2 linked regions of the Daphnia pulex genome follow. The protein of the gene in region 2 purifies or fractionates together with the protein of the main gene of each other region. This does not show direct contact. Links are inferred from orthologs where the notes say so. Each region holds a gene or a part of one and is shown on either strand. Other genes may lie near its edges.

Evidence for each region. The genes of interacting proteins can lie anywhere in the genome.
Region 1: the proteins of cyclin-dependent kinase 20-like (region 2) and peptidyl-prolyl cis-trans isomerase FKBP8-like purify together in Homo sapiens (affinity purification with mass spectrometry; 5 studies listed by BioGRID and IntAct, with this or other methods). This does not show direct contact. The link is inferred for Daphnia pulex from reciprocal best matches to the Homo sapiens genes CDK20 and FKBP8.

Annotation. Positions count from the first base shown.
Region 1 is NC_060018.1:11,872,854-11,878,080, forward strand, and holds peptidyl-prolyl cis-trans isomerase FKBP8-like, read left to right. Parts: upstream 1-1,915; 5' UTR 1,916-2,045; coding exon 2,046-2,100; intron 2,101-2,200; coding exon 2,201-2,388; intron 2,389-2,477; coding exon 2,478-2,612; intron 2,613-2,710; coding exon 2,711-2,919; intron 2,920-2,985; coding exon 2,986-3,100; intron 3,101-3,160; coding exon 3,161-3,328; intron 3,329-3,393; coding exon 3,394-3,615; intron 3,616-3,673; coding exon 3,674-3,751; 3' UTR 3,752-3,957; downstream 3,958-5,227. Other genes in the region: UDP-glucosyltransferase 2-like, read left to right, coding at 1-754, 825-1,044, 1,136-1,433; RNA helicase Mov10l1-like, read right to left, coding at 4,035-5,227. UniProt on the Homo sapiens protein: Constitutively inactive PPiase, which becomes active when bound to calmodulin and calcium. Seems to act as a chaperone for BCL2, targets it to the mitochondria and modulates its phosphorylation state.
Region 2 is NC_060017.1:8,162,109-8,166,876, forward strand, and holds cyclin-dependent kinase 20-like, read right to left. Parts: upstream 3,396-4,768; 5' UTR 3,300-3,395; coding exon 2,981-3,299; intron 2,910-2,980; coding exon 2,679-2,909; intron 2,621-2,678; coding exon 2,550-2,620; intron 2,483-2,549; coding exon 2,443-2,482; intron 2,376-2,442; coding exon 2,185-2,375; intron 2,121-2,184; coding exon 1,986-2,120; 3' UTR 1,952-1,985; downstream 1-1,951. Other genes in the region: gamma-soluble NSF attachment protein-like, read right to left, coding at 86-238, 317-375; uncharacterized protein LOC124193271, read right to left, coding at 1,136-1,237, 1,307-1,534, 1,594-1,608; general transcription and DNA repair factor IIH helicase subunit XPD-like, read left to right, coding at 3,487-3,491, 3,551-3,650, 3,722-3,976, 4,043-4,276, 4,338-4,461, 4,524-4,620, 4,681-4,768. UniProt on the Homo sapiens protein: Required for high-level Shh responses in the developing neural tube.

The DNA of each region.
Region 1 (5,227 bases), on a different chromosome or scaffold from region 2:
AGGTACACCCGCCAGGTTACCGAGGCCCTTTACGGCGACGCCAGAGTCCAGCAGATGATGGCCAACGATCAATTCGATCTGGTGATCGCCTCACAGGTACTGAGCACGGCCAGCGCTCCGCTGGCCTGGCACTTTCAAGCGCCGCTGATTGTGACCAGTCCCAACACTCTTTTCGCGGGCATGGCCACCGTGCTGGGCGATGATGAGCACACGAGTTACGTGCCGTTCGTCTTCACTCGCTACACCGATCAGATGAATCTGGCACAGAGAACCATCAACACCGTAGTCACGAAAATGTGCACGTTCTTACAGCAATTGTACGAAGAATTGACGATCCCGGCCATCGTCAAGGAGACGGGCGGCATCACGGGCTGCCCGCCCGTTCAGAACATCATTAGAAATGTGACAATGGTCTTCACTAATAGCCACCCGAGTTTCACTTATCCAAGATCTCTGCCGCCGCAAGTCGTCGAAGTGGGCGGACTCCATTGCCGGCCGGCCCAGGCTCTGCCCAGCCATTTGGAGACTTTCTTATCATCGGGACGATCGGACGACGGCGGCGGTTTCTTGCTCTTCAGCGTGGGCAGCCTACAGCGAATGGAAGACATGCCCGAACGGGTTATCCAGTCGTTCATCGGGACCTTCGCACGTTTGCCCGGCGTGCGGGTCGTTTGGCAATGGAAGGGCAAAAGGAGGACAGATTTACCTTCAAACGTTTTGGCCATTCCTTGGTTGCCGCAACAAGATCTTTTAGGTAATACAATAATCTGAAAATTATAGGAACATTTCATTTTTAATCGGTATTCATTTAATTTAATTGACAGGACATTCTGGCTGTCGGGGTTTTATCACTCACGGAGGACTCAACAGTTTACAGGAAGCCATTTTTCACGGTGTACCCGTACTGGGATTGCCTTTCGGCATTGATCAGTATTTAAATTTAGCTCGGGCCGTGAATGACGGTTACGCATTGCAGCTTGAATGGAGGGATATCGACGAAAGTACCTTGAGCGCAGCCATTGAGAAGTTGCTGTTTAATCGCAGGTATTATTTATTACGCAACGATTTCCGCTGAAAGCCTTGGACTATGTATAATTTTGTTTTTATCGTTTTTCGTTCGTGAATTTTTGTGCAGCTTTTCGATCGCTGCGAAAAGATTGTCCGGCCTTTTGCGTGATCAATTACAGTCGCCGTTAGAACGTGCCGTTTTCTGGACCGAGTACGTGATTCGTCATAATGGATCGATGGACCACTTGCGATTGGGATCCCGCAAATTGGCACCTTACCAGCGTTCGCTGATTGATGTGTACCTCGTGTTAGTTCTGATCGCCAGTCTTCCACTCTGGCTCGTTTTCTTGTGTTTGCGTTGCTGCTGGTCTACTAATAAAACCAAGGCGGCAACTGCAATGTCAAAGAAAAGCAAGCAAGAGTAGTAGAACCTAGATTTTAAGAGTCAAGTTTTCCAGGAACTTGTATAAATTGCTTGAGCAATGAATAAATTTATTCCTTCTTTTTCACGAAGCAAAGTGTTTCAACATGAACAATTTAACAGATAAGAAAATTCTTACAACATTTTGACGTCGATTTGACGTTCGTTTTCCCCAGCTCAGATCTTTGTCACTACTTAACAAGTGATACTCTAGAGACATTTATTTTAGTTTTAAAGATATTGCGTATCAAATTTTTATACTGTTAAAGAAGTAGGATTGTACTTATTTGTTGAATTATCTTAAACGACAGAAGATTTATGAAGCGACAAACACACAAAACTCAACTTTCAAATATTTATAGATGTTTAGCAAATATTTGCATACTAATCCGTGAGATATAAACATAATAGCAAATAGCGTAGATACCAACTAGTTTCGATTTCGATTGATTTTGTAAAGATTTTGAGTTTCAAAAAGGCCGGTCGACGTTCTACCGTCGTGGCGTCGTCTGCTAGTAGTCTGTAGCCTGTCAATAAAAATCTGGTTCTTTAGTAACTGCTGGCTGGTATCAAATAAACTCTTCTAGAACACTCGGTTACCTGAAAGTTCATCATCATGGAAGAGTCTACTGAAACCAAAGAAACTGTCCAAGAGATTGTTACACCCGAAGGTTTGTTTCAACTATTGAAATATTTCAAGAATAGTTTCCTTCAATTTCAAGTCACGTATTTTCGGTTCGTTTGGTTGGCTGACGTTGCTTACGCATTCAGGTCAGGTTAGTGAGGATACCAAAGAGCATGAAGACAGCCAAAAAATTAAAGTTCCAGACCCGAGCATTGATGAAGAGGCTGGAAAGATGCAACCTTTGGAAACTCCAGACAAGGATAATATCGAAGACACAACATTGATTGAAGGGGCCTGGGCTGATATTTTGGGCAGTGGTCAGTTGAAAAAGAAGGTGAATTTAGCTTAAATGCATGATCTTTGTATATGTTTATCATCAATTACAGTAAGTGATGACAAACTCATTTTGTTCATCAATTACAGACCGTCAAAAAGGGAATACCAAACACCAGACCAACAACCAATGAAATATGCACAATTAAAATCTCTGGCCAACTTGTAGATGGTAAAGCTGTTGATGTTCAAGAAAAGTTCTCTTTCCAACTTGGAGACTTGGAGGTATAAAGTTTAGCATTAATTTAAACTGTAAATGTGTGACAATAATTGAGAGAGAAAGCAGAGTATATATTTTACTGATTCATATGCTTTCAATCCAGGTTATTCAAGGCATCGATCTCATCGTTGCATTGATGGACTGTCACGAAATCAGTCAAGTGGAGGTTCAGCCACGTTTTGCTTATGGAAGTCTCGGAAATGGCAAAGATATTCCACCGGAGGCCACCATTCTTTACACAATTGAACTGCTAGAGGTATCTAAAGAAACAGATTTAGAATTGGTCAACATCGACGAAAGACTCCGGATAGGGTAAGCACCGTCAAATATATTCCGAGCGAGCAATACGGTGAATTCCAACATGTATATTACTTGCAGAAACGCTAAACGCGAACGTGGCAACTGGTGGTACAGCAGAGGAGATTTCACGTCATCTATTCAGTGTTATCGGAGAGCCTTGGATTATCTCGACACAGAAAATGAAACAGAAACGGTACAAATTTGGCTTCTTAACGTTATTTGGGATTTGCATAGATTGTTCTTCTTTCAATAGGATTCTCCAGAGAAATTGCAAGAGATCTTGGATGACCGGCTAAAAGTCTACAATAACATGGCAGCAGCACAAATGAAAATCGAGGCCTACGATGCAGCTCTGAAATCAGTGGACAATGTTTTGAGATGCCAGAAAGACAATGTGAAGGCAATCTACCGCAAATCCAAGGTTTGTGCACCGTTTTTATTCTAAAAAATCAACCGCTATTTATTTGTCTGACATTTTTCAAACAGATTGTTACGGCCATGGGTAAAATGGGCGAAGGAATAGCACTGTTGGAGAGGGCTTTACATCTCGATCCATCCACCAAAATCGTCCAGCAAGATTTAATGCGCCTGCAAGCCAAGCAGAAATTGGAAGTTCAGAAGGAGAAGTCTTTATACAAGAAAATGTTCAATCTGAATTCTACACCAGCACCCACCACTTCGCAAGGAAAGCCCAAAGTTAAGCTGACGGTCAGTTGAAATGGGAGGCTTTTTCTCTTTTTCAAATTAATTAATTTACATTTAAAAGGTGCCATGGACATTGATGATCGGTGCAGTGACTGCAGTCGTTGCCAGCTACGTTACATACCGTTTCAAACTCTTCTAAAATATTTGTTGGTGGTTCGTGTGTAAGCTGCTGATCAAATATGAAGTTGCTTTGGAAAATTTCAAGGCCTATCGACCGGTTTAAGTTAAAAAAAAAAAAATTATTCGTCATCAGTTTGAATGGAATCATTCCCTTATCTTGTTCGTAACTTTAAGTGGCCGCAATCATTTCTTTTTGCGAAAAAGTAATAAATGCCTTCCTTAAAACGCTTTAGAAACCCTTAAATTGATGAAAATATTCCTTGTATTGTATTTCTTATTACACACACAATAATGTTTGATCATTACAAATCAGGTAAATCACAGCCGGTGTAAGCGCCTAGTTGAGCACAGTGTTTGAGGAATGGACCCCAATGTTCATCGTGGACAAGTAAATGTGGATTTCCGATGACAATCAACAGAGATTTAGCACGAGTGACAGTGACATTGAATCGCTTGGGACTGCGGAGGAATCCCAAATGCTGGATGACGTCTTGATCGACGTAATACTCGTGTGAGCGAACGGTACTCACGATAATGACGTCCCTCTCTTGGCCTTGGAACTCTTCGACAGAGCCCACTTTGAACGGGACTAGATCGTTGGACTTGATGAAACTGCGGATCTTTTCAACCTGTTTGCGATAGGGTGTGATGACACCGACGTTGATTGGATCCACCTTGGCGTTGAGGAGCAGCTGCAAGTAGCGGATGACGTGGTAGACCTCAGCCGGATTGCACCAAGAGGGACTGTCAGTTTCCTGATAGTTTTCACCGCGGATGCCGTGGAAGAGCAGAGGAATTCCAGGTTTGGGCAACCAACTGAAATGGGCCATCTTTTCGGCCGTCTCCACTGGTGCACAGGACACGAGCTCATTTTCATAAAACATCAAAGAAGGCAAAGTTAGGAGCGAAGGATGAGACCGATAATTGCGGACAAGCTTCGTCAGTAGATTGGGGTTGTAGTGGCCACTGTCGGCGAACGATTTGCTGCGCGAGTAGAGCGGATTGTTCGACAATCGTTCCAGCAAGGAAAGGCTTAATCCATAGGAAGAAGAATGCTGACTCATTAACACAGGTCCCAGCTGCTTAGGATCTCCGGCTAGAATGATCTGTCCCGGATTGGAATCGCAGCGAATCAGGCCGACCGAGACTAGAGTTTCCGGCTCAGTGGCCTGTCCAGCTTCGTCGATAAAGAGGTGAGTGAAATGTCCGATCTGAAGGCACATGGTGTAAACCTTTCCTGACGTAGTGCACGTCGTGACTAGAATGCGGTGGCGAATAGCCTTTTGAAGTTCGTCGCACGTCATACAGTACTGCTGTATGGCTTCAGACATTGTGTCCATATTACGGCTGAAGGCGTTCAAACGGACCAATTCACCGACGCTGACTCGGCCGCTTTCGTGTAACCGATGAGCAATCAAATCCGCAGAGCTATTGGATGGTGTGGCAACGAGAATGCGGCTGCGTGGGCACAACAAAAATACTTGTAAGATTGCCT
Region 2 (4,768 bases):
CCGAAACAACAACGTTCTTAACAAATTATAAAATCTCCCTACATTAATTATTCATAAAGAATAGTGAGTAACAGTAAAAGGATACGCTTTAGTTTGTTTGTAGCAATCTGAAGCTTTGTACAGACAATCCTTTGCCTTCTGTAGCTCTTTTGCAGTTTTGAAACATGTCGCAGCTTTATTGTAACTGTCGGCTGCCAATTCATAGTCAGGTTTCCATTTCAGCAAGGAAGTTTTTAAGCTAATGTGATTGATTTGGTGAAGAAAATGAAACAATATTAACATATCATCAAATGTAAACTTAACAGAAAAGACTTACTGTTTCTCTGCTTGTTGAACAAGTTCTGTTCCTTCCGAGGATTTCTTAGCTGCAGCCATATTAAAATTCACTAAAAACGATTCGGTAAAATAAGCCAAAGAAAACTGTACAGGTAATATCCTCCTAGTTCTTGTAACTAGCACAAGTTACACTCACCTGTCAAAACAATGTCTGCATCTTTTTTGCTGACGATCAAATCAATGGAATTGCAACGTTGTCGGATATATTTTCTGTTCGGTTATTCTCGCGTGAAGTTTTCGTGAATAATATGAACGCGCATAATAATCGTGAGACACGCACTGGAGCCATCACGTCCGATATTATTTATCACTGTTTTTATCACTTTGCCATTTTTCTCTCAAAAACCGACACGGGGACTTTGAAAGCATTTAAGTAAGAGTCACTCAAATGACCTATCAACTGGGAAGAATCGTGACTTGCACGATGAAACGCGCGATCTGAAAAATATGAATTATAGTTGGAATAGTTGCCCAATTATCTGTCGCTTGCGTGTTCAATTTCCATCTTATCACTGAGACCCTGAGACTTCTGAGTGAAAGTTCTGAGTTTGGTAACCGAGTAGGCCATCACTTATGTGGAAATGTATCGTTTTATAATTAACAAAAAACTAATTAATTTCGTTCACTTAATTTTTTATGTAAAAATTAAAAAAGTAGCATTGGAAATTCTGTTGAAACATTTAAAACAGTCACAATAAAATCAATAAATGTGGGCTGTATTTATGGTTTAAAATAGAAAGATAGTTGTTAACGGTTAAAATAAATGACAGTTTCTTTGGTCATACACGTTACTATGATATTATTGATGCTCTGGATACAAATTTGAATAATGCCACAGTGCAGGATTATTCCTTCCATTAGCATCGAGATTCGAGTACGGAGAGACACCACCGAGCATAACCTAGATTGAATGAAAGATGATCCTGTTAATGACAACCTTATTAACAATTTAATTTTACACCAAACTCACCTCAGGAACAGGGTTTGTTAACGGTTGTATGTATATTGGGTTGCTGGACCGATACTGCGGAACAACAACCACGGGGGCTCTCGGAGCAAACGCCGTAGGTTCTTTAACGTCCCTGGCATCAAAATCGAGAAATCCGAAAACTTTTTTAAGTTTTTCGCGCTTATTGGCTTCGCAGTTGTGTATACTGAAAATTAAGGTGAAAGAAAAGACCAGTGCGACGCAACCTTTCTGCATAGATAAGTTAGTTTCTAAAATAATATTGCGTAAATTTGTCAATAAAGTAGTACCTTATTAATATACATTTTGTGTTGCAAATTGAGTTTGGCGACAGAAATCGAAAGTTACAACACGTAGAGGACGAGCACACGTAGACTACTTTCAATTCAGCGCAGCACCTTCTTCTTGTGCCTTTATACTTCCACCTCCCCCCGTCCTCGGTGCTCCACCTCCCTACTTTCTCCGAGTATGAGATGGCATTTTTTCTCTACGTGACCTTTCTTAACGCTATAGGACGAAACCTTGACCTAATGAAAACTTTCTCCGCCAAGGGACATACCAACCAGTTCTAGTAGCGTAAAATATTCCCATTAAGATCTCCCCTCGCCAGCCAGCAGCAAATATAATAAAAATAAATGGCAGCACTCTGTCATTGAAAAAGTTGTTTTTTTGAGACTTTTATTTAAAAATGTGTAGAAGACCAGTCCCAGTTAACAAATTCAGCCGTTGCGGTATTCACTGATTTCTCGGTCGGGAGAGGCAGCTCTTCTATTGCTGTCATCAACGGATCTTCTTGAAAATATTTAGCTTCCAAAAACTGGTTGTCAATGCAAAGTTTTAATTAGATTTAAATTTTTAAAAGATAGAAGATTAGAAATGACCTGTTTAGCTGTTATTCGTGATTGGGGGCAATAGCGAAGAAATTGTTCCAGCATCGTTCGTGATGATTCGTCTACATCAATCAGGATTTTCTTAAAGGAGATTTGTTTCCGAGTTTTGGTAAATGAAATTTTGTGGAAATCTGGCAATGCTGATACACCTGGCCAATTTTCTTCGTCTGGAGTGCCTAGTACTATGTAATTACCCACAAAAGAGTTAATGCCATTCACCTTGATTATGATTACCGTATTGTTAATGACCTTGAATGACTGTGCACAGTTGGCCAATGTCATTTTCTCCCTAGGGTTTGATGGAAATCCGGATACTGTTACAACATATTATATTGACAACATTGGCCATTATTTACCGGAAAAAGGGGAGAATTCTTCAACATTTCACCAAAGATACAGCCCATAGCCCATAGGTCGACTTCCGGTCCTGTTGTGAAAAAGGTGTTAGAATTAACATGGCATTTTTAAATTAAAATGAAACTTGCCATAGTTGCGAGAACCATAGAGCAGTTCCGGTGCTCTGTACCACCGCGAAGCCACCTGATGTGTGAATAATCTTTGAGCCTTTTCGGAATGATTGAACGTACGACACAATCCGAAATCGGTCACTTTCAGTTCGCCTCGGGAACCAATCAGCAAATTGGCCGGCTTCAAATCCCGATGCATAATACCCAAACTATGAATATATTCCACAGCGCTGGCTAGCATCCACATGTCTAAATGGAAAGGATTGCATATTGGTTATTTGAATGCCTAAAATCTGATTGTAGAGATGTAAATATGGTACAGCTTTTCACGTGACTCGTCGGCAAAGGTTTGGAGTTGGAGCGCAAAAATTCGTAGAGATCTATTGGTAAATATTCAAAGACCAACACAAGCGAATATCCTTGTGGGAAATAGTCCACTAGGTTCACTACATATTCATGGCGGATCAGGCGAAGAGCCAGCAATTCACGAACAGCCGAGTTCGGCAATCCCTGCTCGTTAATGTTCTTCAACGCTATCCGTTTCATGGCGACCAGTTTCATTGTGGACTTGTCAATACCTTTAAGAACGATCCCGTGTGCCCCTTCCCCAATCCTGCCGTTCACAATATATCTTTCCATGAGATCGTTTAAAAAAACTAATCGCAACAAATATTTTTAAACAACAAATTGGTTGCCTTGACTACGCGCCATCTATTGGTAACCATTATCGACACGTGAAAAGGAAAATTAGTCTGCTAGAAATTTGAAGAAGAACAAGTGGCAAGCAACTTTATGTGCATGTTGTTGTAAACTTTCTCGTACAAAAATGAAGTAAATCCCGCACTTTTGTCAATTCAGAGACCACATTTAATTTATTTACATGTTCATAGATTAAATGTTGATGGACTCCTCGTCTACTTCCCTTACGATTACATATACCCGGAGCAGTTTTCATACATGCTCGAACTGAAACATGCTCTCGATGCAAAAGTATGTTGTATCGTCCAATACTAGTATAACTTGAAATTACATAAATATCTGTTGATGTTGGATCAATTCAGGGTCACTGTTTATTGGAAATGCCTTCTGGAACGGGGAAGACAACAACATTGCTATCATTAATTGTGGCCTACATGAAGGCTCACCCCCTTGATTTAACCAAACTAGTCTACTGTTCAAGAACTGTTCCTGAAATTGAAAAGGTTATGGAAGAATTGCGAAAATTAATGAATTACTACGAAAAAGAGATGGGCATGGAACAAAACATTCTTGGCTTGGCACTTAGCTCCAGAAAGAATCTCTGCATTCACCCCTCAGTAATATGAATTAAATAGTAAAAAGATTTAAAAGTATGGTTAATCAACAACACAATTACATAACAGGTCAGTAAGGAGAGAGAAGGAAAAGTAGTCGACGGGCGCTGTTACGGTCTCACGGCATCGTTTGTAAGAGCTCGTCATGCAGGTGATGACGCTGTGCCAGTATGCAACTTTTATGAAGGATTCGATGCTCATGGAAAAGAATTTCCGCTGCCTCCTGGGGTGTACAACCTGGACGATTTAAAGGAATATGGACAGGCCAAAGGATGGTGTCCTTATTTTCTTGCCCGATACACCGTTAGATCATGACATTTATAAAATATTGTACAACCAAATTAATACCAAATTTAAATTATAGATAACTCACGCCAACATTGTGGTGTACAGCTATCATTACTTACTTGATCCCAAGATTGCAGAAGTCGTTTCCAAGGAAATTTCAAAAACTAGCGTCGTTGTCTTTGATGAAGCCCACAATATTGGTAATTTTACTGAAACGTAACCTCTTAAAATTGCCCTACTAATTAAATATTGGTTTTTCTAGATAATGTCTGTATAGATTCGATGAGCGTCAAGATAACGAAACGTCTGCTGGATAAATGCTCCAATAGCATTCAAATTCTGGAAACCACCATTTCAAAGTAATCACAACTGGATGTGCATGATTAATTTCAGAGTTGTTAACTTTTTTAACTCTTTAGCATGAAAGAAAATGACAACAGAAGGTTGGAGAAGGAATACCAAAGGCTAGTTGAAGGATTGCGAGATGCTAACATAGCGAGAGAAACT